Ovis aries: one gene and its partners. The protein of the gene in region 6 interacts with the protein of the main gene of each other region in a pairwise test. Links are inferred from orthologs where the notes say so. Each region holds a gene or a part of one and is shown on either strand. Other genes may lie near its edges.

What was found.
Region 1: the proteins of DISC1 (region 6) and OLFM1 interact in binary tests that used the Homo sapiens proteins (3 or more experiments, as listed by UniProt). The link is inferred for Ovis aries from reciprocal best matches to the Homo sapiens genes DISC1 and OLFM1.
Region 2: the proteins of DISC1 (region 6) and AGTPBP1 interact in a two-hybrid assay, tested with the Homo sapiens proteins (2 studies listed by BioGRID and IntAct). The link is inferred for Ovis aries from reciprocal best matches to the Homo sapiens genes DISC1 and AGTPBP1.
Region 3: the proteins of DISC1 (region 6) and FRYL interact in a two-hybrid assay, tested with the Homo sapiens proteins (2 studies listed by BioGRID and IntAct). The link is inferred for Ovis aries from reciprocal best matches to the Homo sapiens genes DISC1 and FRYL.
Region 4: the proteins of DISC1 (region 6) and PPP5C interact in a two-hybrid assay, tested with the Homo sapiens proteins (2 studies listed by BioGRID and IntAct). The link is inferred for Ovis aries from reciprocal best matches to the Homo sapiens genes DISC1 and PPP5C.
Region 5: the proteins of DISC1 (region 6) and KCNQ5 interact in a two-hybrid assay, tested with the Homo sapiens proteins (2 studies listed by BioGRID and IntAct). The link is inferred for Ovis aries from reciprocal best matches to the Homo sapiens genes DISC1 and KCNQ5.
Region 7: the proteins of DISC1 (region 6) and UTRN interact in a two-hybrid assay, tested with the Homo sapiens proteins (2 studies listed by BioGRID and IntAct). The link is inferred for Ovis aries from reciprocal best matches to the Homo sapiens genes DISC1 and UTRN.

What each region holds. Positions count from the first base shown.
Region 1 is NC_056056.1:1,395,144-1,398,643, forward strand, and holds part of OLFM1 (noelin), read right to left. Parts: intron 2,677-3,500; coding exon 2,457-2,676; intron 1-2,456. UniProt on the Homo sapiens protein: Contributes to the regulation of axonal growth in the embryonic and adult central nervous system by inhibiting interactions between RTN4R and LINGO1. Inhibits RTN4R-mediated axon growth cone collapse.
Region 2 is NC_056055.1:33,977,582-33,981,698, reverse strand, and holds the start of AGTPBP1 (cytosolic carboxypeptidase 1), read right to left. Parts: upstream 2,801-4,117; 5' UTR 2,577-2,800; intron 1-2,576. UniProt on the Homo sapiens protein: Metallocarboxypeptidase that mediates protein deglutamylation of tubulin and non-tubulin target proteins.
Region 3 is NC_056059.1:67,859,188-67,861,621, forward strand, and holds part of FRYL (protein furry homolog-like), read right to left. Parts: exon of another isoform or gene 1,817-2,434; coding exon 1,706-1,816; exon of another isoform or gene 707-1,705; coding exon 516-706; exon of another isoform or gene 198-515; coding exon 1-197. UniProt on the Homo sapiens protein: Plays a key role in maintaining the integrity of polarized cell extensions during morphogenesis, regulates the actin cytoskeleton and plays a key role in patterning sensory neuron dendritic fields by promoting avoidance between homologous dendrites as well as by limiting dendritic branching.
Region 4 is NC_056067.1:53,378,727-53,382,226, reverse strand, and holds part of PPP5C (serine/threonine-protein phosphatase 5), read right to left. Parts: intron 474-3,500; coding exon 232-473; intron 1-231. UniProt on the Homo sapiens protein: Serine/threonine-protein phosphatase that dephosphorylates a myriad of proteins involved in different signaling pathways including the kinases CSNK1E, ASK1/MAP3K5, PRKDC and RAF1, the nuclear receptors NR3C1, PPARG, ESR1 and ESR2, SMAD proteins and TAU/MAPT.
Region 5 is NC_056062.1:630,751-634,250, forward strand, and holds part of KCNQ5 (potassium voltage-gated channel subfamily KQT member 5), read right to left. Parts: intron 3,196-3,500; coding exon 3,020-3,195; intron 2,448-3,019; coding exon 2,322-2,447; intron 1-2,321. UniProt on the Homo sapiens protein: Pore-forming subunit of the voltage-gated potassium (Kv) channel broadly expressed in brain and involved in the regulation of neuronal excitability.
Region 6 is NC_056078.1:3,975,749-3,979,248, forward strand, and holds part of DISC1 (disrupted in schizophrenia 1 protein), read left to right. Parts: intron 1-1,471; coding exon 1,472-1,698; intron 1,699-3,500. UniProt on the Homo sapiens protein: Involved in the regulation of multiple aspects of embryonic and adult neurogenesis. Required for neural progenitor proliferation in the ventrical/subventrical zone during embryonic brain development and in the adult dentate gyrus of the hippocampus.
Region 7 is NC_056061.1:69,042,803-69,046,302, reverse strand, and holds part of UTRN (utrophin), read right to left. Parts: intron 3,410-3,500; coding exon 3,236-3,409; intron 810-3,235; coding exon 654-809; intron 1-653.

The DNA of each region.
Region 1 (3,500 bases), on a different chromosome or scaffold from region 6:
ACCCAAGATGGCACTGTGTGGGCAGCTGGCTTACTTGTGCTATGCTCATAGCTGCCTCCCAGCAAGGCAAACAGCCTGCTAAGAGGGCACCTACTTGTACCTAAAATAAAGACTAAATGAAGTGGCCACAGGATAGTAGCTGGGGTTTAAGCCGCCGAGCTTGAGTGAAGGCTAGGGTGAGGGCGAGGCTGCAGCTGAACCTACAGCCTGTGGTCTGCCCTCCGCCTGCCTCCCTGCCGGCCATCTGTCTCATACTCTCTCTACCTGCCGACCACACTATCCCTTACGACCTCCTCACCTGCCCTCGTGTGCTTCCACCATCTCCTCTGTGCCGGGCTCGCTGCACAATCCGCGACGTGAACTCACACACAGCGACCCCAGGGCACAGGGACTCCTCTGCCTTCGTTGTATAGATGGAGGGGAGGTCGGAACCGGAAGTGGTCAGTGCCCTGGTTGAGCCACACGGCCACCGAGTGGCACTTCCTGCCTCAGGACACCAACAGGCGGGGCCCTCGGCTGCTGCCCTCCTGAATTGCCTGCCAAGCGCTGGTTAGAGGCAGATCCCCACCCCCGACCCCGCTGCCACTGGCTCAGCACATCCATCTCTGTGCCAAGGTCTTTCTGAAGAAGGAATTAAGCACAGAAGCGGCTGCACTCCACGGTGGAGGGCAGGGCTCCGGGGGCCTCTTCGTCCTCTCTCCTCGCTCCCGAGAGGGCCATTTCAGCGGCCCGAGGGCAGCCACGTGAAAGCCCCAAGATCGCTAGCCTGAAAAATGAATTCAGCCGGCTTCTAAAAATAGGCCGAGTTTGGAGGGGAAGGCCACCCGCCTGGGACAGGCAGCCTTCTCCTGGAAAGGCGCCTAGCGTCTCATCAGAGCTAACTTCTCTCTCTGAATTTCCACCTTACTGCTTGGTCTGTTAATCAGAAAATGTGGAGGTTTAATCTTGGTTTCTCACTGGTCTACGTGGTCTGTCTACCAGGGAATAAAAACAGTGCTGTGCGGAAATGAGTAACAAGAGAGAAGTGTCGGGGAAGTGTCCGGAGGGTCTGGAGAGTGGGATGGGAGTGTAGCGCCTTCACAGGCAGGAGCCAAAGACAGTGCCCACCAGAGGTTACCACACAGCCCGTAACCACTGAGAAGCCCGACACCCAGCAATACGCCAAGCATTCCTGCTGCCTCCTGGACGCTGATATGGGAAGGGCGGGTGGAGACCGTCCAGCCCAGACCCGTCCTGAAACTGTCCCAGGTCACCCAGCCCCGGACACACCAGGACTTGGGCACCAGGCACCACATGTGAAAAAACAGTAGCACAGAATCCCTCACAAGGCGCGGACGAGCGCACACACCACAGCGGACTCCTTCCAAGCCTCCAGCATCGCTCACTGCCCTCGCTGGGCCTGGGGGACTTTCCTAGGGCACCTAGAACAGCATTAAAAATAACCCAGACATGGGAACCTATTCACACAAAAGGTTGGCTGACTCTGTCTCCTTGCCCTTTGAACGTTTTCTGTCTCCCACCTAATAGCACTGGGTTTGTTTGTTTGTTCTTTTTTTAAAGTACTTGTTCTTTTGGGATGTTTTAAGTTTAAAATACGGCATTTGTAGTGTGCAGGGGGCGGGGGGTAGGGGATGAAAAGAGGACCAAGTGAAAGCGCCAGATAAAACCTAAAGGAAACTCGTGCATAAAGCAGAATCATGCTGTTACTCCAAAAAGTAAACAATAAGAAAATGAACCACCTTTGCGTTAGAAAACAGTGAGTGAGAAGGGCCAGCCAATCTTTCCTAAGAAAACCTAAAAATGGAATTGGGATTTAACATGTGCTATTTCAAAATGGACTCTGACGTGGACACGTTAAGATTTGCTAAATTAACCAGAAAGTTGATAAGGTGATGGGTATCCACCACAGACAAGACTCGGAAGGAGCCTTGGGGCCACCGGCTCCCAGCCCCGCACCCTCCAGGTGCCAGAGGGATCCCCTCGCTTGTTAGGAATGGCGAGCCTTCCGCCTCGATGCGATGGAATTTTCTGCATGGTTCGGTTTCTCAGGGAGCTGTGTCAGCCCTTTCCTGAAAGCTGGAGGGGATGAGATGTGCTTCCAGCTCTATGAAACTCGTGTCCTAAAAAGCCACCCAACACACAGGGACACAAGCGCACACACACCCGTGCACACACACTCTCTTCAGATGCCATGTAACATCTAACATCAGTTTTCCAGATGTGCAGCTCAGTGGGGTCTGTGAGCTGGCCTCTGCACGGGATTGGACAAGGCCCTAGGACAGGCGCGGCCTACACTCCTCAGCTACCTGTCCAGGCAACCCTACCCAGGGGCCCTAACCCAGCCACCGCTGGGGAAGCCAGGCGGGCGCTGTCCAGTTCAGCACCACTCCCTGAGCCTGAGTGAGCCAGCGGCAGGTGGGCGGTGCAGTGCCCCGCCCGCAGGGTTCTGGGCCTACCTAGTTTTTGCATGCATGCACGGAGCCTCTCTTCAAGATTGGACACTCTGCTCTGCAGTTCATCGTAGTCATAGGCGCCAATTTCCTCTTGCAGCTCGTTAAGCACTGCCGTCAGATTCTGGACCTCCTCCTTAAACTGCAATACCAATTTGGCATCGGCCTTGTACTCCTCCAACACAGGTATCAAAGGCCTAAGTTCATCCATTTTCGCTTTTATTGCCTGCAAGGTTAAAATAAGCTGGGTTCAGTGCGATGCGTGCAAAAACTTCTAACACCCTGCCTTGGCCTGGCTTCTCCCTAGGTAAGGGAAAATGTCCACACTCCCGCTTTCTTTATAGATTGATTTATTCTGGTCCACAGGAGTTAGAAGAGTATATTAAACAGTCTTCAGAACACCAACATATTTGGGAAAGGTCTTTATTGTCAGTTTAGAATGCAACATCTTATGGTTACATGCTTTAAGTCACATACACAAAGTATCTCTTTTTTTGTTTGTTTTTGTTTTTTCAAAAAATGCATTGACAAGGGTTCAAACTATTCATGAAATGCATCTACAGCCACATGCAAAAGAGATCCTGGTTGTGTTCAAGGTTCCTTAGGGGCAGGTGCTAAGTAACGGGAAATAACAGTAAAAATGCAGGCTGCAAAAAAGCTCTCTGGGTCTCTGTCATGGTTACATGGGAGTGGACTGCTTCTTCAGTCTGCAGCATTGAAAAAACTCTTTTAAGTTAGCCCTGCAAGCAAGAAAATGAAAACTGTTGAAGAGCTAGCTTACTAGCCTGCCTGAAACAGACAGCCATTAACAGACAAATATTTTCACCGTCCACTTAAAAAAAAATCACTCTTCAAGGCTAGAGTCAGTCCAGACAAACTGCTTTCACAGTCATTTAGGTGCCCTCACAGGAACTGCTGCTGCAAGTGTTCAAGGCAATTAAAGTGCGGTCAGAAGCAAGGGTAGCCTGTCTCCCCCCCCCCCACCGCCCCTCAGAGCCATAGCATTCAAGATCTGAGGACTAGGAGAGCATGCTTGCAAGGAGGAGCTAG
Region 2 (4,117 bases), on a different chromosome or scaffold from region 6:
CCGCCACCACTGTGAGGGAGACAATCCAAGGTCCTGTCAGAAGGGACAAACGGATACTTCAGCCACTCTCCAGCAGCATCTCAGGACGCCCAGCTCAGGGTCTAGCTGTTCTATTTTAAACTAAATTATATGCTTCCAAGACAGGACAGTAACACTAAGCTCTCAGCCCCAAAAGAGCAAATGGGTCTTAGTGGGATTAACCTGGAGTAACAGGACTCAATCAGCCCAAAGCCCTTTTTCGGCTATGAGATCCCCTGTGCTGAGGAAACACAGAAGCAATAATAATATTTACTGAGCATTTTCTATGTGCTAGGCACTGTGGGCTAAGCACTTAACATTCAAGATCATCTTAAGAGTATACACCATAATTATCCCCATTTTTGGAGTTGAGAAAACTGAAGCACAAAGAAGGTAAATAACTTGCCCAAAGCAAAGGCAGGATTTAAATCCGGCCTGTCTGACTCTGAGGCCCAGCCCCTTAGCCACTACACTACAGTACACACAGGCAAGTAACCAACAATAATACATAAAGTTTAAAGTCAACGTCCACTGTTCATACTGCCAAAGAGAAGCTTCCAATTTGCAGAGAGCCCTCTGACAGGTTCATCCATTACTCTGCGGGTGCTGTTCAACTTCCAAGTACCAGAGGACCTCAGGCAAGAGTAGATTTTGGAAGGTAAAACTGCAGAGGACATTTTCCTTTAGTCCAAAATATAGAATATAAGTTAGATAATTTCACAAGTCTTGGACCTCTTTGCCTTCTGCAATTGAAGATAAAACCATTATTATATAAGAATCAACTAGACTATTCCAAAGAGAATAATGCCTCAATTCAAATCAATTGATAGAGCTTTATAAAAACTGCTTTTACAAAATTTCAAATTACACTATACATCTAAATGTTTTGCAATGTGGCTAATTACAAGGCTAGCTCTATGTTTATGCCTTTCACTTCAGTGTTCAGAGTGAGAATGCAGTTTCAAATATGTGTTGAAGCAACTCAAGGCAGAGTTTTAAGGTCATTAAAAATGAACCTAGAACTTCACTGTAGAAATTAATTCAAGCAAAGTGGAAAGGGAAGCAGAATAAGTCAAGTTACAAATCAGCCTTAAGGATAAGGAATAAGGAGTGAATAAGCGCTAACTATCTCACAGTAATTACAGAAGAAAATACTTAGAGATATTTCAGAGTTTTTGTTTAGTTTTAACATTTGGCACACGTTTTAAAATATGTACCATACAAAGTGCCTTAAATAAACTACTATTTTTTTGGCCTACTGAACTGAAAACATTCCACAATATAATTACAGAAATAACTTTCTGGTTTTCTCAGGGATAAAAAAAAAAAAGACATTTTATAAAACAAATTCAGAGGATAACAAAGAAAGAGATAACTCGATTTACATAAAGATTCCAAGAAAGACAGAAATGGTAAGTGAAAATGAGTGATCCAGCAGACTGTTAAAAGTCCTTTCTACCCACAAACTGTACGAACTACATCATAGACACTGCTACAAATGTACATCATAAACACTGTTACAATTTTGAATACCTGAAAGTAAGAAGAAAAACAAACCCACGCAGAATGAACATTGCCACAGAAAATTTCTACTGAGTCTTAAAACATATTAAGTTATCAGCAGTGCTAGACCTGCAGGCACTTGAGGAAGCTATCTTAAAAAAGAGAAACAAGCTTTATGTTATCAACATTCACAACGATGTGTAAAACTCTATTCTAAGATGGATAAATACCCAGGAAAGGAAACCGACCGACTCAAACCTGCACTGGTACATTAAGAGACTTAAAGACGCAGGAGGGTAACCACCGTGGAGCCCAGCAAGCCTTTGCGTAGGGTTGCAGGTACCCCTGCACACTCGCATGAAAAACCCGCAACTCGGGAAGGAAGGCTGGAGGGAAACTCTGCACTGTCATCTAGGGCGATCTCCTTCATGTCCAAATCAAACCCACAAGGCGACAAGTTGTAAGCAGAGAACACACTTCGGATCAAGTCAACCACAGAAAGGAAGCAAGCTCGGCCATCGCCGTCGTCACACCACTACCCACCTTGAAGCCGGGTGCACTTAGGGGCTGAGAGCTGGGTAGGTGTGGAGGCAAGGCGCGCGCCCGGCCCTGCCCACCGCCCCTCCGCACCGCTCAGCTCTGCGCTGCACCGCGGTCACCGCCGAGAGAAAGGAAGAGCAGGGCAGGGGGCCGCCTCTGCTCGGAGACCTCACCGGCTACCCTCTGCGAGGGCTGGAGAGGGGACGACCGAGTGACCATGGGTGGGGGCGGGGTGGGGCGTTTCCCAGAAATCGGCCAAAGCCCCCACCCATCAGGGATTCCCTTCAAGACCCGGTCCACCCCAGAAAGACACGGGTTACACAATCTGTCAGGTAAGGGGCCCAGAGGTAGCAGGGCGCAGACCGAGGAGGGCCGGGGGTCGCTCCTTCCTAGCTTCTCCCGCCCCCAAGACACCGCGGCCGGGGAGAGCGAAGTGGTGGCTGGCTGGCGGATTAGCCGCGGCCGAGGGGCTGCCGGCCAGGACGCGCGGACGGCGGCGGCGGCGGGGAGCTCACCGGCTCAGGATGGGGCGCTGGCAGGAACTAGGCAGAGCCGCAGCACCCGGCTCGGCGTCGGCAGCGCGAGCGGCTGCTCTCCCGACACACCGCGGATACCTAGTCGCCCGCCGCCGGGTGTTTTCATACAAACCCCGGTGGCAGGCGAGGAGGAGGAGGAGGTGGCAGTGGCGGTGGCGGCGGCGGCGGCGGCGGCGGAACCTGCCCGCATCCCAGGCAACGTCAGCGCGGCGCCCCGCCCACCGCACTCTTCAGCCCGCCGGCTCGCGCGCGCCGGGCGGGAGGGAGGGCGGGGTGCGCGTGCGCGCGGGCCGGGTGAGCGCGCTCCGCGGAGAGGGCGGGGTGAGCGCGGGCGGGAGCAGCGGCGGGGGCGCGTTAGGGAGCGCGCGTGAGAACGGAGGGAGCGCGCGCAGGGGGAGGACTAAGGGAGCGCGCACAGGGGGAGGGCGGGGAGCACGCGCAGGGGGAGGGCGGGAAGCGCGCGCCGTTGTTTGGGGGCGGGGGAGACCCGGGCGGGATTTTGGAGCGGGTCCTGTTCGGGACGCCGGCTGTTGTACCCTGCAGCTGCTGCTCTACCCAACCAAAGGGGTCTCCGGGCGGCTGCCCACATCCCGAAAGTCACCTTCCTTTACGCTCCCAATTAGAGCCTCCGCTTTTCCCCAAAACTAAGCTGGAGCGCACCCCCACCCTCTTAGGAGGCTTCTGCGGCGCCGGACCAGCGGTTCTTAACTCTCGGACTTACGTGAGGTCGCATTGGACCCTGAGGACCGCGGTAAAATTTAGCCTTTTCCTGACCTCAAAGAGAGCTCAAGATAAGACGATAAAGGCAAACAGCTATCACATCTGAGCTCCCAGAAACAATGAAATTTCACCTTGTGGCAGTGCCTCCATAAATCAGGTATCTAGCTCTGCAACGAGCAAAATAGCGTGCTGATTTATTTTTTGCCTTTTTTGTAAACCTGCGTACAAAAGTCTCAAAAATGGTAATGCTAAATTAGCCGCTGAAGGCAGAGATGGAATGTTTTATCTGAACCAAAGTAATGTGTCAGACAGATTAAAATACTGATACACTCTCTTCTGTTTTGACTGTATGTAAATATGCTATAATATATTCCTAATAAAGGCTGACATTTACTTTCTTTCAAGAGCATGGATCATCTTTGCTGCTGTTTATAGTAGCTGATAAGGAATGTAAAGTTGTTACAACCAGATAGGGAAATAAATTGAGAGCTCTAAGGTTTTGTTTTGTTTTCTTATCATCCTGTTTAAAAGAAAGTAAGCAGGTGTGAAGGCCATTCAAAAGGTAATCCAAGGTACATCCTGCAATTTGCCCTTGGCAAGTGTCCTACTCAGATAAACAAGAGACTAACATTTTAACTAAATCCTGTAGTTTCCTTGACTGTGAGCACCAAAGGTAGGTTACAGTGCTTTAGATAATTTTAAAACAATTACCACACCAAACCACCCAGCCTGAAAAGCATTATCTGAAAACACCTAATTACCTAAATATTTAACATTTCACAAAAATTAAATATATGTGA
Region 3 (2,434 bases), on a different chromosome or scaffold from region 6:
GCACCGTGCGTAGAGACTCTCTTATTTCTAGGTTAAGTTCCATCAGTTTGTAGTTGGCTTCTGACATGTCCAGGTCAGAGCCTATGACTGCAAAGCTTCCCGTCTGGCCCAGCGTCTGGTGGTGGAAATAGATGTGTAATAGCGTCTGGACAGGGGCGTCTTCACAGCTGCCAAAGATGTCATTGGGCCAGAGAGATCTGAAAGCACACAGTATTTGTAAGTCCTGAGAGTCATAGCAATCATTCCAGATTAAGTACTTTTAAGTTAATACTTACAAAAAAAGTAATTTCCTTATGAATCACTGAGGATCTGTTTTAACATTTTAACAAATATTACTGAAAGTAGCACCGAGAATGAACAAAGTCTAGAATTGGTGTCATTGCATTGGTAAGTGTACAAAATAAGGTCATGTTTTCCTTTCACAAAGATTGAGACATCAAGTTGAAAACCCAAACTCCATCATAAATTTCCAGTTAGGTATAAAGGCATCTCCTATAAATCCCTTCACATTTTACCTGAAAGCTTTGACTTGTGCTACAGCTGATATAAATTCCTTATTTTTCAAAGTTTCAATTAAAGAATGAATGGCAGTTTCTATAGTAGTTTGTGCAGCTTTGGAAATGTCAATTTCTTCGTTTTCTGAGGCAGACTCAGCTTCTTTGAGGATACTTTCCAACTGGGCAAGTTCCTCTGACATGTTGAAGACCTGAAAGAAATAAATATACCTTAAAGGGATCAAATTTGTACATTCAGTAACAATACTGAGTACTTACTTAGCTGTGAAATTACATCTGATGATGGTAATATTTTCTCTTCAAGATTATTTTCAGTTGTTAAACTTAGGACAGTTAATATTTCAAGTTCTCTATTCAGCTGGAATAATTTCAGCTGCCAAACAGTAGTCTTTAGATACTCTTGATAAAACAACAGGTTAAATGTAATAAATGTTATCAATACCTTGTAATAAGTAAAACAATAGGTTGTTTATATTGGTCTATATTTTAACATGTGATAACATGTTATACATACTTCATCTTGGATAGTAAAAATACATTTATATTATTGTTTCGTAACATAAGGCCTGGAATTCTGGGAGGATCATGAAAAAAAATTGACAGTAATGAGATGTCTTTATATTTTAAAGGGCTATTTCTCCAAGGTATTTTATATAAGCCGGTATGTATGTTTTTTTTTTTTTTAAAGTAAATTTAGAAAATGCAGTGTTTTCCTTGGTGATAGTTCTGGTACCAGTGGTTGGCAAGAGGGAAAGATTCTAAAAGTGAATCTGTTCATGCTTTCTAATACCTGCAGTGTTCTTGATGTGTTTATTTTTGTGTGAGTTACTAGAACTATAGAAATACTACATGGACAAGATGTTAGGGGGTTTCATAATACAATTTTGTCTTTATTGTATTGACGTGCTTCACTTGATTTTTGATTACAGATGATCTATTGCTGCTATTGCAAACTTTAACGTCTCAAACCTTTTAAGATCATTGGATATCTGCTTTTAGATTTACTAACTGGTCCTAAAATAGCACATCATTTCAAAAACTGATAATACTTAACTATGGGGGGAAAAAAGACCCACTAGCCACTCTCCATAAGTGACTTTCGACCTTAGCACTCCTACAAGGAAATAAGCATGAATGTATTTTAATTTTGTACGATCAGTTACTAATGCCTACTACAACTGAATATTTACCTCTGCTTCATTTTTTATTGTGTTGACTTGGTTGATAAGTTTACAGTAGGCTTGGAACAGAAGCAGCAGTTGAAAATGCAATTTGTATAACCTTCGACAGAGCTCCAGTTCCTAGAAATAAATAACACCACGTTAAATTTAGGTGTTATTTTCCATATTTGATGAGACAACAAAGTTCCAATTAAAATTTAAAAGTAAATAATTATTTTAAATTGTTCTGAGATTTATCTTTCTGCAGTAAGCAAGTTAATATGGTATGAAGTTGATGAAACACAGATGAAAGATGCTCTGAAGACTGGGATTAAAATAAAAATTTTAAGATTATTGGTTACATAGTTCATTTTTAGTGTGATACATTTTCACATTAGACAAATAGAATTTTTAGCAGGCAATAAATAGAATGCTTTAAAATGGATTCACTAGAACTTAAAACTTTAACTTCATAATGAAAATAATTTACAAATTCATATACTCTTGCTACATTGAGATATACATCTCATTGCATTTATCAATAAGTGCTTGATAAAGCAAAAACTGGATAACCTCTCATCTAAAAAGTAAGAATAGTTTGCTTTTTAAATTAATTCCTTTTTCTAAAAAAAGAAAAACAATTTTATAATCTCACTGAAACAAGACAAATTAAAAAATGCACTTGGATTATTAAAATTAAATTTAAAAGGAGATTCATTAGAGGTGTAAAAAGGCAACTGCTGGTTGTACATATTAATT
Region 4 (3,500 bases), on a different chromosome or scaffold from region 6:
TCATGGATACAGGGAAGAATGCGCAGAGAGGCCAGGTGACTCGCCCAAGGTCACCAGGCAGCAAGGGCAGAGCTGGGCTGTGAACCCAGCTGGCGTGTGCTGGATGAGCGAGCGGTGAGTAAATGTGAGCACAGCCTCCTCACGCCTTGCCCGTCAGGTCTGGCCAAGCACCAGGAGGTCCCAGCCCACCCGCCTGGCCCTCAACACCAGCCTGGTTCAGGCCCGGCTCACCGTCTCATAGTCACGCAGGGCGGCCCGGAACTTGCCCAGCGCCATGTTGCTGGCGGCCCGGCGGTAGTAGCCCTTGATGTACTTCTTGTCCATCTCGATGGCCCGCGTGGCGTCGGCCAACGCGTAGCCGTAGCACTCGGTGCGCAGGTAGGCCAGGCTGCGGTTGCCATAGTAGATGGCATTGCTGGGGTTCAGCTCGATGGCCTGGCTGTAGAACTTGATGGCGTTCTCGTAGTCCTTGGCTGTGAAGATAACAGGAAGGGGGGGCGGGGTATGAGGCAAGGGTGTCACCCCCAGCCAGCAGGGGTCCTAGGCTGGGGACTGCCCAGTCCCCCCACTTACAGATGGAGAAACTCAGGCCCAGAATGGAGCTCAGAAACGTCTCTCCAGCCCGCTCCCCTTCCTGACTTGTCCCACCCTAGCACAAGCCCAAATCCCTAACTCCCTAAATCACTTCCACATACCTGCCCACCCAACCATCGCCCCTCAAGGCCCCAGCTAGGCAACACTTCCTCCGGAACTTCCGGAGGGTCTTCTGAATGTACCCCAGAGAGGGTATGTTAGTGAGTGCCAGCCCTGAGATGGTAATCAGCAACTCAGTCTGCCCTGAGCCCCAAAACAAGTATACAAGCCCAAAGAGGGGTTCCAGTAAAACAGAAGTGGGGACAGAAAAGGGACCTACTTAGGGCTCAGGAAGGTGACACAACAGAGACTCAAAGGAAGCGATAAACCAGACCAGAGGGAGAGCCTTCCCCATGGAAGGACTAGCAGGTGCAAAGGCACTGGGGAGGAGAGCACGAAGTTCTAGGACCAGCGAGAGGGTGGTGTGTCTGGGGCGGGGTGAGCCTGGGGAGGGTAGGAGGTGAGGGCAGGGGAGCTGGCAGGACGCATCCCAAAGTCCACAGCCAGAGCAGGGTGCAGCGACAGGACATGACATCTGGCCTAGGGGAAAAGTCCATTTTATTTGAAATGAGCCACGGCTGTGCCCTGCCTGTTACACCTCGACCCGGGGCATCCGCACATCCCCACGGCACAAGCACCGTCTGGTGCTCCCTCTACAGCAAGCCACAGAGGTCTTGTTCAAGGTCAGACGCTCAGTCTGTATCTGCAGAGCTGTCTTGGCCCATGTGGCTGTTCAACAGGCAGGAGACGGAAGCCAGGGGGAGCGCCCGACCTGAGGGTACGTGATGTGCCAGGTGCCTTGGGGGGCTCTTGGCACACAGGTCCCTGCACAGGTCCCTCATGGCACCCCGAGGACGGCTGCGTTAGCCCCACTTCCAGATGAGGCTCTAAGAGGGAAACCACGTCCCCAGGCAAGTGGCAGACAGGGGTTCCGAAGCAGGCGAAGCGCCACGGGCTCCCACGGTCACCCTCTGCACGAGGTGGCCTCTGGGGGGACCGGCACAGGGCAGACACGGACATGGGGGCAGGCAGTCTGGGCCCCATCCCCGCTCTACTCCCAGTGAGCTGTGTGTCCTGGGGCAACTTACGTACCCACTCTGGGCTAAAGTTTCAGAGAGTCCTCCGGACCCTCAGCCTAAAGTAAGAACTCCTGCCCTAACTCCCACTGTTCTTTTCCCCAGAGGCATCTGAGAAAACAGGACCTTCCTTTGTTGTGTTTGCTTATTGCCCAGCCTCCCAATGTGAACTTAAGTCCTGTAAGGGCAGGGGCGCTGTCTGTCTTACTCTGAACCCTGGCCCTGTCTGAGGACACAGCAGTCCCCCGCCCTGCTGTCCAGGGGCTCACGATCCAGTTGGAGGTTGGGACGGCACACAGATCACCGCCCCCCAGGCCGTGACACCCGCAGTGCTGTGGCTGGGGCCACCCAGTGGGGATGCCAGGGCTGAGACTCGGAGGAGGAGGAGTCAGGAGAAAAGAACGGAAGAGGACTCCCGGCTCCGTGAGTGGTTCCTGAATGAATGAAAGAAGGTAGGAAAGAAAGAGAAAGACGGACACACCGACAGTAGAGAAGGAAGCCAGGTGCTGCGAGGTGCCAGGAACAATGTTACGATTCCTTCCGCAGGCGAATGTCTGGCAATCTTTCAAATGGCTCGGATGTCACCTCCTTTGAGAAGCCTTCCTTGACACCCAGGCGGGGTCAGGCACCTTTCTGAGCGGCCCCCGCCCCGAGGCCCCGCTCTCCCAGGCCTCCCTCTCTGGGCAGTCACCGTTAGGTGATGGGTGTGTCTCCCCAGGACCGTGAGCCCTGGCTGGAGGGCAGGCCCAGGACTTCCCAGAAACATGCCTGGGCAGAACGAGGCAGCCGAGTCTGACCGACCCTCCCTGGAATGCCAACACCTTCGAGGACTCCTTCCAGCCTCCTGGCCGGATTCCAGAGGCCGGCAGCCAGCGTGCCTGCTGTGTACCTCTGGGCACGGGGTGGGGAGCCTGACATCAGGCTCTGAGGATCCCGACCATGAGACCCTAGACAGATAGCCTCCCCTCTCTGAACCTCAGCTTGCTCATCTGAAATGTGGGAAGCACAACTGGTCCCGCCTCATGGGCTGGCTGTGAGGGTTAAAAGAACTCCCAGATGAAATGTGGCTACAGCCGAGAAAGCGATCAGCAGATGCTCGTAAAAGAACGGACTGAACAACCGACTGGAGGGGAGAAGAGACTAGAAAAGAGGAAACGGGAGGGGCCTGGGCTTCACACAGCTCTCGGACACAAGATCCCAGCCCTGCTCTACAAATATGAGTGCACTTAACCCTCAAGGGAGGCCCCATTTTAGAGAGGAGAAAGCGAGGCACAGAGAAGTTAAGGTCTTCCCAGGGGTCACACAGCAACTAAGACAAAGAAACAAGATTTGAACCCAGGCAGCCTGAGCTCTTAACCGGGTGAAGTCTTGGACTCAGGGGCCTCCTTCGGGGTTAAACGGAACCCCTCTCTTTGTACAGAAGGCGGTAGGAGGCGAAAAGGCTCAGAGAGAGGGGAAGAGGGGTGAATGACAGGAGGGACCAGGCTCTTCCCCCCGGGGCCTCTGGATCAGGCCTGAGTTCCCAGGGGTCAACCAGCTAGGGTCCTGCAAGCCCCTGGGGGCCCTCATCTCCCTGCTCACCGCCCCGGGGCCAGGACGGCTCCAGGTAGGGCTGCGGGTAAGGACTCTGAATGTGGGAGCCAAGCACGTGGTGAGGAAGGGGGATATCCGGGCCGTGCCGCTCGCACACTCTGACCTTGAGCAAGCGGTTTCACTTCTCGGAGCCTCAGCTTCCTCTATAAAACAAACAGGGCCCGCTCCTGCCTGCCTCCCAGCGCCCGGGGGAGGATT
Region 5 (3,500 bases), on a different chromosome or scaffold from region 6:
CCAGGCCAGAATACTGGAGTGGGTAGCGTTTCCCTTCTCCAGGGATCCCTTGGTTGATCCCAACCCAGGGATAGAACCTAGGTCTCCCGCTTTGCAGGCAGATTCTTTATCAACTGAGCCACAAGGGAAGCCCAAGAATACTGGTGTGGGTAGCCTATCCTTTCTCCAGGGAATCTTCTCTACCCAGGAATCGAACCAGGGTCTCCTGAATTGCAGGCAGATTCTTTACCAGCTGAGCTACCAGGGAAGCCCTAAGTACAGGTTAAACTTCAGTCGAATAGCACTGCTGCGCTGAAATCAATGAATAGATGCTGCTTTTCCCTGAAAGGCACAGAGATGACCTTTGGAAACCTGCTACGTGGGTTATTCTGGCAAAGAAACAAGCTGGTGACTAAGTACATGGAGAATTTCCCCCACACACTCAACACACAATGCAGTAGGCAGGGGTTAAGTAGGAAGGAGAGTAGTAGGAAGATGGATGGAAGGCTAGAGAGGTGCCAGGTGGATGCACCAGCAGCTGCACCTCAGTACAGAAGGGCGCCCACGGGTCTCAGTCATTCAGCCACATTAGGATTTTCACAGCGATGCAGAAACTAAAATTCAAATCGCTGTCTTCCCCTTGCTGGCTAGAAAAACCTCCTTTTTGCTCAGTTTACTCAGTTTATCCCCACTATGAGTCATACATTTTCACTTGTTCTCAACACATACAAAGTATTTTAGGCATGTCAGATGACAGCTCTCTTCTGGGTTTTCCACTTTCCTTCTTTCAAAGTGGTCATTATTGCTTGTGGGGGAGGGCAAGGAGTTGGAAACCAAATTATGAAACAACAGGATGCTTTGTTATCAGTGACACAATCTTGTAGACATTTAGCTCTGACAATCTAAGGAAAAAGAATCTTAATCTTCAAACGACTATACTTCTGATTCTTACTCATTTTATTGCTGCTATACCAGGTTCTGCTTACTTCAAGCCCTGATGAGTTATCCTCGTCTTTGATGACAATTCTAGTTCTCACTGATGAGCTTCTGACAAATAGCGGAAGAGCGCAGCAGTGAGCTCCACGGGGCAGACTGGCTAACAAACTTACTAATGCTTCAATCATAGTTTAAGAAGATGATGCATTTTTACTTTGGCAACAATCTAACACTCAAGAAATATTACAAGTGCTTTATAAGACAACAAGTTTGCTGGACCAAAGAGACTCTTCAGACAACTCTAACTGCTGTTGTATTTTCACCCTTTTGGCACATATTAAGGAATAAAATAAAAAGAAATGCAGTTTACACATTGCATAAAGCATTCCTTTATCTTAAAACATTCTTATTAGGGTACACAATTCAATGACTGCTTAATAAATTCTTTACAATAGAAAGACAATTTTTGCTTCAGTGCAAAACTATGTGTTGTTTAGAGTATGTTCTTCTAGGTTATCGATTTCTGATTTGATGGGGTGGGGGGGGGCAGACTCTGTACCTTTCATGGCCTTTGAGCTATTTTAGGATTGTGTAAGTTGCAGCAGGAATGCAAAATAATTCTTGTCTATAGATATGTAAAGAAATTCTGTCTGGTGGGGGCGCCTCTGACTTCCTGCTTTCACTGTGGAAGAAGCCAGGTTTGCCTCTGTTTGCAGATTCAATACTCCTAATCTTTACACACTTCTGTTCTGTGGATAGTCCTCTGAACTGGCTGTAACATCTTCTTAGTTCCTTCACTGATAATGACTTAAAATATTTACACATGCTTTATTTTCTATGTGTACGAGAGTCATGTTTTAACTTTTATTTGTTTGGAAAACCATCCTTTAACAACAATATAAAGGAAAAAGAGTAGAAACATTTGAAACACAGTGTCTGTAATCTCTGATCTCACAGATGGTTACCACTCTTTTCTCTTTCCCTTTTTGTACCAAAATTTTACTCATAGCTTTTGTTCAGCTACTATTTCTTTTTTTAAAGCCTCAGATAAACTTTCTGATGAGTGACAAACAACACAACAATTTGTACTTCAAAGCTGCGCTCCACAAAGTTAAATAAGTGAGCTCGTGAACATTTTAATCAAGGTTAAAAAATTATTCATTTTTATTTTGCAACAGACTGGCACGCATGAAGCAGTAAGTTGATTTGTAAGAGAACTTTGTTAGACCTAAGCCGGTGAGGCAACTCTTCAGATAATTAAAAGTGCTGCGTATTTGCACAAAACTAACTTCCCTTTTGGAAGTTCTTTTATAGTATTACTGAGACCACTCATGGGAATCACTGCACTGTATTCAAAGGAAACATCTCACAACATCCCATAAATAAAACCGGATTTTCCCACTCACCGTGCCCCACCAGAGAGCATCTGCGTAGGTAGAGAACTCCTTATTAGCATCCTTTTCCACCAGATAGACAAGGAAAGACGAAAAAATCAGAACCAAAAATCCTATGTACCAAGCTGTGATTAATTCCTAGATATAAAAAGAATGAGAGATGTTTTAGAGGTGAAAAATACTCGAAACACAAACAAAAACAAAATCTAAGCATGATTTCATGTCTTTGACTACTGCTTGGGTATGGTGGTGGTGGTGGTGGTGGTGGTGGTGGTTTAGTTACTAAGTGGTGTCTGACTTTTGCGACCGCATGGACTATAGCCTGCTAGGCTCCTCTGTCCATGGGATTCTCCAGGCAAGAATACTGGAGGGGGTTGCCATTTCCTTATTCAGGGGATCTTCCCGACCCAGGAATTGAACCCGGGTCCTGCATTGCAGGCAGATTCTTTACCGACTGAGCTATGAGGGAAGCCTTATAGATATAAAAAGAAAGAGAGATTTTTTAGAGGTGAAAAATACTTGAAACAGGAACAAAAACAAAATCTGAGCATGATTTCATGTGTTTGACTACTGCTTGGATATTTATGGTGACTTTTACATAATCCACATTGTGTCCTCGCATGGCTTTAGTCAGTTTCTGAAAAGCCCAAGTTTGCTTTCGAAGAGTCTGGCGACCAGGGCGGCCGCGGGTGCGGAAGGTGCGAGCTCACCTTGCTGTGCGCGTAGACCACGGAGCCCAGCAGCTTCCAGGTGCCGCCGCGCCGGTCCATACGCACCATGCGCAGGATCTGCAGGAAGCGCAGGCTGCGCAGCGCCGACGTGGCGAAGATGTTACCCTGAGTTTTGGCAGAAACGACCGCTATGGAGGCGATGAGGACAATGGTATCTGAAAGAAACAGGTTGAAGCAGCCGTTAAGTCGCACAGCCAAGAGGTTTTCGTTTCCCAGAGAGGATTTCAGAACGCGTCACTTTGGCCCTATCTGGGGCCCTGGGAGCAGGACTTGAGCTCCAGGCTGGCGGCCGCCACGTGAGCTCTGTGACGGCCGAGGAGCGGAAGGTGGAGGACGGGGCCTTCTGCTGACCCGTTCTTACCCCTCGGCGGCCATTCTCTGCTTTAGCCATCCTGTTTGGACCACTTCCTGTTTAACTTTCGAAGACCTGGACGTGGCCTTCAGAAGGTCTGGTGCTCTG
Region 6 (3,500 bases):
TATCCCTTCTCCAGGGGATCTTCTCGACCCAGGAATTGAACCAGGGTCTCCTGCGTTGCAGGCAGATTCTTTACCAGCTTAGCTACCGGGGATGCCTGGGTAAACAAAATGTGGTATATAAATACAATGAAGCATTTAAATTCAGCCTTTAAAAGGAAGAAAATTCCGACACACACTACAGCATGGATGGACCCTGAGGACATTATTCTAAGTGAAATGAGCCAGCCATGAAAGGACAAATACTGTATGATTCCACGTAGACACCCGGAGGAGTCAGAGTCACAGAGAAATAAAGTAGAAAGATGGCTTCCAAGGCTGAATGCAGGGGGAGAGGGGGGTCAGAGTTCAGTTTGGCAGGATGAAAAGAATCCTGGAGATGGATGGTTAAGATGGTAAGTTTTCTATTACTTGTATTTTACTACAGTGGAAAAAACCCAAACAAACAAAAACAGAAAGAATAGGGATGGGAATTCAAAGGCAGGAAGTAGGGAGGTGTGGTGGGAGACCCTGTCAGTGACACCATGATCTTGGACCACTGGGATACACGCTGTTGTCTTCTCAGCATGTCTTAGCCGTGGATCTTCAATACCTCCTCCTGTGTCTCTTCCCGCCCCTACTGGAGGAGGGGTCAGCAGGTAGATCAGGTAGGGTGGTCGGCATCTTGGGGTTGCGAGGACATGGGTGAGATGGGGAGACAGCCAGTATTAGAGCTGTGCTCTTATCAGCTGGCGGCCAGCGCAGGAACCATGGGCGTATGTTGATTAAAAGAGTCTCATTGGAGATTCAGGATGCTACGGGCACTGAGATGATTATCTGCCATAACGCTGTGTGCACAGCGGGCATTCAATTACCTGCTGCTTGTTTGGTTCATTGACCTCAAGATTGGATGATACTCAATTCTTGGGATTTGGGTTGTCATATTAGTGGAAATTAAATTTATTTAATATTTTTATGAACCTTAGGCTGCATAACCCTATCTGTGGCATCTCACTGTTCTTTCAATCCTTAGACTTAGGAAACTATGGCTTCTAGTCTTTCTCTGCATGCTGTATCTGCATGCTTGGGGGCAGACCAGCCAAGGCTTGTTTGCTTTTCCTTTTTTGGTCGTGTTAGCTGCTTTGCTGGCCTCTCAAGTCCCTGAAGTTTGTTGCACTCTGTTCTGGCTCTATCACCTGAAATAAGTAAGTGGTTTACATATTTGCTGGATTCTTCCAAGTCTAATTCTTGGCTCACCACCCGCAGTTATTTAATGCTTGGGAGGGAAGCTTTTTCCTTATGCCAGCTAATCAGAAATACAAAGCTGACATGATTTTTCCAGTTCAGCAAACCTCCAAAAATCTGCCCGCCTTCAAGGGGAGCTTCACGGCCCTCATGCAGGTGGCGAACTCTGCTGTAAAGAGAGAGTTCTCAGCAGTGTAGTCGACCATGAATGGGGTTAATTTACAAAACCTGCTCTCTCCATTCTCTGCAGAAAGAAATTGAGACCCTCCAAGCCAGGATGTCTGTTCTGGAAGCAAAAGATCAACAGCTGAGACGGGAAATTGAGGAGCAGGAGCGGCTTCTCCCGTGGCAGGGCTGCGACCTTGTGGGAGGGTTGTCCCTGGGCGAGCTGCAGGAGGTCACCAAGACCTTGCAGGACACCCTGGCCTTGGCCGAGCAGATTCCCCTCCGTGCAGAGCCACCTGAAGCCATCCAGAGGTACTGGTGATTTCCTAAGTGATTTTGGATCTCTCGCCTTGTCGATCTGTTTATGGGGTTGATTTAGTCTGCGGTCCTACATATGTAAACGTTGGGTTGGCCAAGGAACTTTTCCGTCAACTCAGTATTTTCCAAGCAGTGCTGTGTATTTTCAAGGGAAAGTACTCCCGGCATTTTGAGGGTCAAGGCCCTTCTTTGTGGGGGCAGCCCTGTCCACTGCAGGACGCTCTACACCGTGGCTACCCAGCCTATTGGGCTCCCTAGGTGGTTCAGTGGGTAAAGAACCCGTCTGCACTGCAGGAGACACAGGCATATACGAATCGATCCCGGGGTCAGGAAGATCCCCTGGAGGAGGCCATGGCAACCCACTCCAGTATTTTTGCCTGGAGAATCCCATGGACAGAGGAGCGGTTGCAAAGAGTCAGACGCGACTGAGCAGGATGCACACAGCCTGCTAAATGCCTCTTTCTCTCCATTCTGCTCAGCACCTTCCCCATTTCCTAACGCCCCCCGGGCGCCTTCTCTCTCTTTGGGATCTGTTGGAGTTTGATCGGTTGGAGAGTTTGATGCCAACAATCGTCTGGAGACAAGGGGAATGTTAGAAAGTGTTAGTCGCTCAGTTGTGTCCGACTCGTTGCGACCCATGGACTGTAGCGCACCAGACTCCTCTGTCCATGGAATTCTCCTTGCTAGAATACTGGAGTGGGCTGCCATTTCCTTCTCCAGGGGAATCTTCCTGACTCAGGGATCGAACCTGGGTCTCCTGCATGGCAGGCAGACTCTTTATCATCAGAGCCGCCAGGGAAGCCTGGAGGCAAAGGAGGGAATGAGCTACTAAGAGGGGAGACTCAATCAGTGACCAGGAAGAAGAGATGATCATTCATGACAACCAGCATTTATTGAGTCTTACTGTGTGTCAGGCGCTGTGCTAAGCTTTACGCGATGAGTGGCGTCTATTATTATATCCATTTCACAGATGAGGATAAGAGAGCTTAGGAAGATCAAATAGTTTGCCAAAGTCTCAATTGATAAGAGACAAAACTGATACTAAAATTCGTGTTTGTTGCATCAAAGCCTAGTTTCTTACCCGCTTGTGGAGGGAGAACCTTCCCTGTGCTCTCTGTTGAGGAAGACACAAGAAATACGTGTGGACCTCTGACCTTCTGGGAGGTCATTACCTTATTCTGGCCAAAGATGGAACCTGCCCCTACTCCTATTAGACAGAAGTCGAGCTGGTGGTGAGGCTTGAGGGTGCAGCGGGTGCAGCAACGAGGGGAATGAATGTGCTGCTCAATTACGCTGCAGGAAACACTCAAGAAAACCTTGCCACCTGTAGCGGCTGAGAATAGGGACTCTTGCTATCTACTCATCCATATATTAGTTGGAACCACTTATTATCGGGGGGCTGTTCCTCGGATGAACTGGGTTAAAATGTATCAATATAAGGGTCATATGATGGTGCCTGGGTGGCAGCACGCCCCTTTACTGTCATATAATGGTGCCTGTCCTTCTCATCACAGGGATTTCCATCTTCAGAAGCCTTCTAACTGCTGTCCAAATGTGTCTTAGACTGTTTAGCAAGTATCTGCCCTCTTACACATGCCACACTCGGTGGTATCAGCTGGGATGCTCGTCCAGGAAGATGCTCACCATGTCCTCCCCTCCCCGTCCCAGCCCTGATATTTCCCTGCAGAGCTTTAACCCTGGGCTCCATCCACAGGGAAGGGGAGGGCGTGTGTTGTTGCCAGATTTTAGTCAAAGGAAGCTGACCATCAAGCCTGCCTGTGCCCTTTCTCCTTCAC
Region 7 (3,500 bases), on a different chromosome or scaffold from region 6:
AGCTATGGTTTTTCCAGCCATCATGTATGGATGTGAAAGTTGGACTATAAAGAAAGCTGACCACCAAAGAACTGATGCTTTTGAACTGTGGTGGTGGAGAGGACTCTTGAGAGTGCCTTGGACTGCAAGGAGATCCAACCAGTCCATCCTAAAGGAAATCAACACTGAATATTCATTGGAATGACTGATGCTGAAGTTGAAACTCCAATATTTTGGCTACCTGATGCAAAGAACTGACCCATTGGAAAAGACCCTGATGCTCGGAAAGACTGAAGGTGAGAGGAGAAGGGGACGACAAAGGATGAGATGGTTGGATGGCATCACTGGCTCAATGGACATGTGTTTGAGTGAGCTCTGGGAGTTGGTGATGGATAGGGAAGCCAGGCATGCTGCAGTCCATGGGGTCGCAAAGAGTCAGACACAACTAAGCAACTGAACTGAACTGAAATGTGGACAAGAATCCCTTAGAAGAAATGGAGTGACCCTCATAGTCAACACACACTTTTAAAGATATATAATAAAAATTATTGGAATAAATGGAAACATGTATGATTGATGCCATAAAATTCAAATAAGCATTCTTCTCCCAGAAGTAAAATTTTAGAATACATAAATGAGAGAGACAGAGGGGGCAGTACACCTGCCCTGCTCACCTGGGCACCCAGGTCATTGTAGAGAACCTTCAGAGAAGTCAGCTGCTCATCCATCCCCTTAGGGTTGTCGGTTTGCTGCTTCTGGACAATGTGCCTTCCTGTTTTGATTACTGTCTCCACTTCAAGCTTGACTTCACTCAAAATTTTATAGAGTTTCTTAAAAATAAAGCCAGACAAATAATACATATTAGTGAAAATGTGGTAACTGGAAACATTTCAGAACATGGATGACAAAGATCGACAGCTAAGAACTAACCATGGAGATCAAAGGGCTTTATCTCTCTCAGATCTGGTTCAAAGAATGAGTAAGATGAAATCAAGGTTGTAATAATTTTTTAAATTCAGATAAGAAAATACACTCATAGGGATTATACTTGTCTTATTTAAAAAAGACTCAAACCTGTATCTTAAAGGTTTAGGGAAGTACTTGATAATATGAACATTTTTCCTACAAAAAATGGGAAACATGAGGACAAAAAGTTGAACGTCTAACATTTTTTAAAATTACATTTTTCAAAATCCTAAATGCCATTACTAGAAAAAAGCTAATGCTGGCTATTTCCGGCTGTGGGAATTTCAAAGTATTAAGATACAATTTTTTTCTTACAGTTCTCTGAAATACAAAGTCTACCACAATGAGCACATGTTAGTTATATAATGAAAAAACATATAAAAGTTCCATACATCAATATGTAAGAAGCTGAAGTTATATAGGTCAAATTCAGAGATGCCCTCATCCTCATTGCTTTGAAACTGAAAAGCTTTATCCTGGGCAGGTTCTCTTATCTCCATTCATCATAGTGTTGACCTGAAACACCCACGTGGCATGGCCCCATAGTAACAGACCATTGGACTAAATGACCCAAGATCAAGGACAGTGCTTGCTTTGGTGATCTCTGCATCTCAGTAAATATACCTGTACATTCATACATGCATATGCACACGTATTATGTATAAAAATACATCCTATTTGTTCATCCTTTCATTCATTCCAGTTTTTAAGTAATCAAACAATCTTCAGCATGCAAAGACATGTGGAGATTGCAGTTTTGAAAAGCACAAAGAACTCTTCCCAGACTTTTCTTAACATGTGTCATCTTCCGTTTTCTCATGATTCTTCTCAGGCAAAACCCCAATTCTAAGACTGAATACTCAGGCTGCTGCTGCCGCTGCTAAGTCACGTCAGTCGTGTCCGACTCTGTGCGACCCCATAGACGGCAGCCCACCAGGCTCCCCCGTCCCTGGGATTCCCCAGGCAAGAACACTGGAATGGGTTGCCATTTCCTTCTCCAATGCATGAAAGCGAAAAGTGAAAATGAAGTTGCTCAGTCGTGTCCGACTCTTCACGACCCCATGGACTGCAGCCCACCAGGCTCCTCCACCCATGGGATTTTCCAGGCAAGAGTATTGGAGTGGGGTGCCATTGCCTTCTCCAAATACTCAGGCACATGATCTTTAAATTTCTGTGCAACTGAATTTTAAAGTTCAAACTAAAAAGTAATAAAGTCTTTCAAATAATTTTTTCTTTTACATCTTAAGTTTAGATTTGATTTAAAATTTTATTTCCTAGAGAATGATTTTTATGCTACCATATGACTGACATCCATTCTAAGTATAATTTCTTCTTTCACACTTTAGGCTTAAACTGTATAAATTAATATTTAAAATTTTACTTTCTTTGAGAATGAATTTGCTGTACATTGCAATATTCCTGACATTCATTCTAAGTATGGTTCTTCTGGTAGTGGTTTAGTTACTAAGTTGTGTCCAGCTCTTGCGACCTCATGGACTGTAGCCTGCCAGATTCCTCTGTCCATGGGATTCTCCAAGCAGGAATACTGGACTGGGTTGCCATTTCCTGGTTCTTCTAGCTAACTCAAATTTATCCTTTAAAATTTAGCTGTTTAGTCACATTCTGTCAAAGCCTTCCCTAACTTCATACTGTGATTAAGATATGCTTTCTTCTTGTTTTTAAATCATGTTATATACATGTCTATTCTGGTTTCCTTATCTCATTACACTGTACTTCAGTTCAGTTCAGTTCAGTCACTCAGTTGTGTCCAACTCTTTGCAACCCCATGAATCGCAGCACGCCAGGCCTCCCTGTCCACCACCAACTCCCGGAGTTTACTCAAACTCATGTCCATCGAGTCGGTGATGCCATCCAGCCATCTCATCCTCTGTTGTCCCCTTCTCCTCCTGCCCCAATCCCTCCCCGCATCAGAGTCTTTTCCAATGAGTCAGCTCTTCGCATGGAGTAGCCAAAGTATGGAGTTTCAGCTTTAGCATCATTCCTTCCAAAGAACACCCAGGACTGATCTCCTTTAGAATGGACTGGTTGGATCTCCTTACACTGGAGTGATTGATTTTAATCTCTGCTGTCTCTCTCTCCTATCTCTTCTAATTTCCTAGGAGGAAAGAACCACACTTCTAATTTTCTAACCTGTTTTTCATCATTTATCCTTATTCTTAGCACATTTTAGACTAACAACAACTGAACAAACCATGTACATAAGCACTAGATGAAGCCATATTAGCAACAGGAAAACCCGTTGGACACATTAACAACCCAGTGGCCTTACCATACACTTGTCCAAGTGGGTCTGTATGACATCAGGGTCCACATCCTTCACATCCAGAATATGAAGCTCTGCTTTCACACCATCAAGCACACGCTTGCAGTCAAGCATGCGCTGTTCAAAGTTAGCAGGCTTCTGGAAAAGCTGGAACTTTGTGGACACCTCTCGAAGTTTCCTCTGTTGGCAGAAATGAAAATAATAATTCATGTTAGAATGATAAACTCTCTCAGCAGAGAATATTAGCATAATACATACTTCGAGAAGGGGT